Cricetulus griseus: one gene and its partner. The protein of the gene in region 1 interacts with the protein of each later gene in a pairwise test. Links are inferred from orthologs where the notes say so. Each region holds a gene or a part of one and is shown on either strand. Other genes may lie near its edges.

The links. The genes of interacting proteins can lie anywhere in the genome.
Region 2: the proteins of Gad1 (region 1) and Haao interact in a two-hybrid assay, tested with the Homo sapiens proteins (4 studies listed by BioGRID and IntAct). The two-hybrid records come from large-scale screens. The link is inferred for Cricetulus griseus from reciprocal best matches to the Homo sapiens genes GAD1 and HAAO.

Annotation. Positions count from the first base shown.
Region 1 is NC_048599.1:104,598,308-104,601,807, forward strand, and holds part of Gad1 (glutamate decarboxylase 1), read right to left. Parts: intron 1,725-3,500; coding exon 1,646-1,724; intron 504-1,645; coding exon 354-503; intron 1-353.
Region 2 is NC_048598.1:85,454,603-85,457,507, forward strand, and holds part of Haao (3-hydroxyanthranilate 3,4-dioxygenase), read right to left. Parts: intron 2,075-2,905; coding exon 1,985-2,074; intron 1,720-1,984; coding exon 1,676-1,719; intron 1,404-1,675; coding exon 1,258-1,403; intron 1-1,257. UniProt on the Homo sapiens protein: Catalyzes the oxidative ring opening of 3-hydroxyanthranilate to 2-amino-3-carboxymuconate semialdehyde, which spontaneously cyclizes to quinolinate.

The DNA.
Region 1 (3,500 bases):
GGCACATGAACACTCACACTCATAAACACACACATACACAAAACAGAAAAAAAATATTTTTTTTAATTTAAAAAAGAGTTGTTATGGAAGTCATTATCTTGGCAAAATTTTTAGTAAAAAGAGAATTGTAAGACTAAGACATTTCCATGTTAATTCAAACTAAGATGAACGAGCTGAAGAAGAGAGGGTTGACACAGGGAGGAAGTTACTCCGCTCACAAGGAAAATATAGTTAACTCAGTTATCCAGACCCAGTTACGTGTTCAGTGGATTATCTTCCATTCATCGCTGCCTGTCCTTCACCAGCTAGTCTGTGCTAGCCACGGTTCTGGTTCCTGGATTTCCCCCTCATACCTTTGCTTTCCACATCAGCCAGAACTTGAAGATGTCCACATGGCGGCCACACTGAATCGCCTTGTCCCCAGTATCATAGGAGACATCATACTGCTTGTCTGGTTGGAAGAGGTAGCCTGCACACATCTGGTTGCATCCTTGGAGTATACCCTGTCATGGAAATCAAGACACAAGCAACTGCATTCACCAGTCAGAGCTGTGGGTGCAAGGATGGATTTGGGAACCACACCTCTTTTCTTCTCAGACCTTTCGTGAGTTCAGATGTCCTTTAAAGACACTCTTGGAAAAAAACCCTGCCTGTCTGCCCCCAACCCTGCCTTGCCTTCTGTCACTCTGGTTAGAAAATGTCCTCTTGTATTGGATGCCTACAAGGGCCTCTAAGGGACATCTGAGGTTTGTCAGATTCAAGGAGGAGTTATGTTGTCCTTCTTTGGGCAGGGCTTGGTGTACAAACTTCAGCAGGTGGAAAAGCTAGTGCTGTGAAGAACTTCCTTCCCCCCAGACACTACCCCTCCAAGTCTTCCAATTTATGCAAGACATCCTATGAAATTAAGTAGAGGAGAGCCTACGTGGGTTCTGACTCCCACAAGAGACAGGCTGGAGTGGGTGCCTCTCCTGCAGCAGGCTTATGAAACATCAGAGCACTGGGTGTGGGGGAGGAAGAAAATCTGTCTCCAAAGCATTTACAGAGCTTTCTTAAAAATTACACTTTTTTATTTGCATGTGTGCACACATGTGTACAGTATGATGTATAGGGGAGATCAGAAGACATCTGAGGGAGTTGGTTTCTCCTTTCACCATGTGGGCCCCAGGGATAGAACTCAGAGCCTCATGCTTGTCAGCAAGCAACCTTTACTCACTGAGTCATCTTGCTGGCCTTACAGAAGTATTCTGGCTAACAGTCCCTGGTGTCTTAAGCCAGGATTTGTGTTTATCGGTCCATCTAATTTTTTCAGCTCTGGAGACTACAAATATCCACTAAGAATTCAAAGTAGGTTCCAGTGAGCACGGTTTGTTCTTATTGATTGAGTGGCTCAGTAATCACACTCAGGTCTGTGCAGACATGAAGAAATACTCAAAGAGTTTCACTGAAGGGTCTATCACCAACAGGGACCCCAGCACTGAACAAAGACAAAGGGCAGCCGACAACAAGAGCTGAGGGGAAAATATAGGTTAGGTTGCTGGGAGGGCATACAGGACAGTCTGCAGGCTCATAATGGGGCTGCCAACCATTCCTTTCTCAAGCACTGGGATGTGCTTGCTGCCGGCACATCTCTGGAGGGAGTACAAACCTTTTCCTTGACCAGAATGGCTGAGCACTGTAGCAACACGCCCATCATCTTGTGTGGGTTCCAGGTAACCGAATTGGCCCTGGAAGACACATAGGAACCTCTGAGAAGACTGGAGCAAGGTAGAGAAGATCCTGTCATCTTGAGGAAAACTGGGCCCATCTCCAATGAGATCACAGATGCCCTCCTTGCCCCATCTCCTAAACAAGGCAGGCAGGCTGTGGGCCATCTCTTAAGGTATTGCACTGCTGAGTTCTATATAACTGCTAATAACAACAGCCGCACTTGCTTACTTATTAAGTGTCCTATAACATGTCCTCAGAGCTCTAGGTGTCTATGACTGGAAATGTGGCTAAGGACTCGGGCTTTACAAGTGTACTGTGCAATTCTAAAACCTAGTCCTGAGATTTCCTAGCTTGTGTACATTACAGAACTCATCTTTGCTACAGAATTCACATCTATCTCATTAGAAAGGAATAAAGGTGAAAACACGTTCATAAAACATGTAATGCTTATCACAGAGCTTGGTAGATGTAATTCCCACAGCAACACTGTGATGCAGATATTGCTATTACTTCTAGTTTACACAGGGAAGCTGATGCACCGATAGGTTACCCACACTGTCAAAAGTCTATGGCTGGTAGGGACTGGATCCAGGGTCCAAGCCGATGGTTCTCTGCAGAGCCAACACTCACCATCCACACACCAGACTGCCTTCTTCTAGCCAATAGCCATGGACTTCTTCCTGCCTGTACTGTTCTGGTTTAAAGAAGGGCTGGCGATGAGGACCAACCTGCTGATGGCACACCTGAGTGCAATGATCAGCCACGCTGCCAGAGACTGGGGCTAGCTAGCAGCGGCGACTGAATGCGAAATGAGCATGGTTTTCGCCAGTCTCGGCTGCAAAGCTCACTTAACAATTGTGGTCTCCTAGCAACTGCATCACTCTGTCAAACACAATTAGATGACTAAGGAACACTAGCTAGGACATTACAGAAACAACCGAGTGTAATGTATAATGATTCAGACTTGGGAAATTTGCTCCGGTGAGTTGCAGACCCTTTTCTTGATGGTCTTGGCCACAGCTGGACTCTGTGTTTCCTCTGATATCACAACTGCCTTGGAAACAGACTGTCTGTGCTCTCCCAGTGCTAAGCCCTTGCTGTGAGTTTTTAACCTCATCCTTTGGTCCTTCGTGGTGTGTGTGTGTGTCTGTGTGTGTGTTGAGTTTCAAGAAGGGGGCAGAGGTTAAAGAACATTTCCCTTACATGCACAAAAAGGAAGTCTCATGAAAGAGAGAAAGAGACCTGAGAGGAATCCCTGGTAAGGTTGACTAAGTGCTGACATCATAGAAGAGAATCCCCGTCAAGCCAATTTCATCATTGCTGTCACATATCAAGCTATTAATAATTATACTTAGATCTCATAAATGTCTTTAAAAATGATTTTCTGAATGTCCTGAAAGTAGGAAGTAAATGGTTCTCTGCTGCTGCAAGTGGAAGTTAACAGGACACGATGTGGCTTTGGCTCCCCCAGGAAGACATTCATGCTTTAAAGTAAAAAGAGAGTAAGTCTCGTGTTAATTCTTTCACCTGTTCCTGGATCCAAGGATAGACAATGAGAACCCTCTGAGGAGTCTGAAGTACAGTCGGGCTGGCTCATCAACATTTAGTATATTTTCCTCTGATTTATAGCATCCCATCTTTCATCTTTCACAAGTCAGTCTCGTGTTGACAATGGTGTTTCAAAAGAGACAGAAGGAAACAGGCAGCTATGAAGCCAGAGCTGTTCCTAGCAGAGTGTTCTGATGAACTTGCCTGGCCCAGTTTTCTTACTGGCCTGCTCTCCAGCTCTCCTG
Region 2 (2,905 bases), on another chromosome or scaffold:
CCAGGATCCTTGTAGGGCTCCCTGTTACACCTTGTCCTCTAACTCAGCCTTACGAAGGAAGGATGACCGTTTTGAAATGCCTCTCTAGTCTCCTCACTCAATGCCTGGGTGAAGCCCCACTGTCTCTAGGACATGTCCCCTCCCTAAGTATAGCTCAGCAGAGTTCCAGGAACAGTTAGTAATCTAGTTTCCATCCTAACTTCTCCACTTAGTTCTGGCCAGCCTCAACTGCTTGCAGGGTTAGGCTGTTTCTGTTCTTCGAAACTTTGTGTTTCTACCTTCCCTAGAATGCTCTGTCTGCCTCCCTCCCATCCTCTTGCAAGCCTGTACACTGGCTTTACAGTTCTACTTGGGGGCTGGAGGGATGCCTAGAGTTCCTCACAAAGGACCCTCAGGGTCATTCATAAACATCTGTATCTCCAATTCCAGAGGGTCCAACATCCTCTTCCGGCCTCCATGGGCACCAGGCAAGCATGTAATGTGCTTTCATACACGCAGGCTAGCATACAGAAGCATAAATGTGAAATGAATAAATCAGAAATTTTTGGTGGGGGGTTTTCGAGACAGGGTTTCTCTGTGACTTTGGAGGCTGTCCTAGAACTAGCTCTTGTAGACCAGACTGGTCTCGAACTCACAGAGATCCACCTGCCTCTGCCTCCCCAGTGCTGGGATTAAAGGCGTGTGCCACCACCGCCTGGCTATAAATCAATTTTTTAATTAAAAAATTCATCTCCTCCAGGAGCCTTCCTTGACTTTTTTTCTTTATCCTTCTAGAACTTCCCATGGTTACTCTAGTAAATAAGCTGTCACATGACTGGCAGCTGTGGGTTAATTTGTCCATAACAATTGCCTTGTTCTTACCAAAGCAGGAGCAATATTAGATGAAAGGCCAGCTTGTTAGGGTCGCTACACATTGCTGCCCGGCCCTCTGCCAAATAACTCTTTCCCTTCAGCCTCTAAGCTCCCATGTGCCAAAAGTCCAGGGGTAGGTAAGTGGCAGGCACCCAGGAAGGTGACAATGGGTGAAGAACTTCCCATTCTGAAAGAAAAGTGTCTGTGGGACCATGAATCTACCAGAGAATTCCATCCACAGAAATACTGTTACTCTGAGACAGAGAACAGGAAAGCTATTCTCTCTCTCTCTCTCTTACACATACACATACACACACACACACACACACACACACACACACACACACACACACACACACAACTTCCCACTTCCCAGGTGCCAGACGGATGGATGTTGAGTGTTACCTGGGTCTCATAGGTGTCCCCAAACAGGCTGAGGGATGTGCCTGCCTGCAGCTCCCTGGAGTGGCCATCCAGCCAGGTCTTTAGTGACATGGGCTCCATGACGGATCGTGTACTCAATGGGAATGGTGGCTCCTTGAGCAGCTGGTCTGTGCCAGCGACACAATGATGAGCAGTGACCTCCAGGCTCAGCCCACCCAGCCCCAGTATTCCCAGGTCCCAGAGGCCCTAACACAATAGCATATATGGGTCTTGGGTGCAACCTAATGGCTGAACAGCCATAGTTGGGTGCTACTTGGTGTCATTTGCTCAGTGCTTGAAGTTCTGGGCAGAGGACCCCGGGGTTCCTGGGTCAATACCCAATCCACTACAGGGAGGGAGAGAGGGAAGAGAAGGAGAATGTGGCTGTCGGCGGCCTCACCAGGGTCAGGCTTTCCTGTCCGGTATTGCTCAGAGCGGAAGAACCTGCAGGGACAAACAGACAGGAGGGGAATGGCAGCACTCCTGTTAGGATGCCAGTGAGGCATACACCATACGCAGGAGCCAGGACACATTCATAGAGCCTCGAATGACTTGATCACCTATCGTACTTTCCCTCCCAGCCCAGCAGAGCATCTCATCCTATCCCCAAGGTGGGAGACTCTCTTTAATTCCACACCTGATGGCTCAAGTCCAGTGGGTGTTACAAAACTGAAGGACCGTGAGGGGTGGGGCCAAGCTGGTGACTTACTCTTGGATGATGGGGGCCAACTGTGTTCCAAGGTCCTTGCAGTAGAACCATTTCTCGAAGAGGACATTGACAGTGTCCCCTACATAGTACCTGCCAAAAAAGAGCTCAAGGTAATGAGCTTCCATCTGGGAAGCTTAGGGGCAGCCTGGTCCAGACTGGGCTCTGGTTAAGCACGCATTTCTGAGCCCAGGCACTGCATAGCTATGCTGCTTTGTTACCTCTGTTGGCTCAGCCCAGGGATCACACTGACACCTGGCATGTGTGAAGCAGGTAGGCGTTACACAGCTTAAATACGACAGAGAGGGCTACGCTTAAGACAGAAGGTTGGAGAACATTCAATCCAAGTGTGTTTGTTTTCAGCAAAAGGAAGTTGAATCTGAGCGTGTGTCCTGGGCAGCTTGAAGTTTGTTCTTTGGGTTCTAGGTCATCATACACAGGAACTTTAGTAGCCAATGCAGCGCACATGCGAATACACACACACACACACACACACACACACACATACACACACACACACACACACACACCATGAGGGAAGGATTCTTCTGTTTCAGAGGTCAGAGGTCACCTCTGCTTCTTAGGACTTGAGCGTAGTTCTGGCTTTCTGTGGTACACACACAGTCTTCAGTCACCCCTGCAATGACCCATATCCCCATAGCCAGGACACCGGGGCAGGCAGAGTTGTGCTGTCCCACTGGCCCTTATGCAGGTAGCACAAGGCAGGTGCTGGGGGCAACTGTCCCCAGAATGCCCAATCTCTGAACAAGCTCCAGACCAGTCCAGTTCTATCTGGTTTTCAACTCTCACCAGAAAAGTAGGGACAGTCCTATGGAGAGAGACAGGATGTAGACATACCATGCTCCCCCCAAGCTTCTACCCTGAGATGGAACTGGCTACCAGGAAGCTTCATTATGGGGCCAC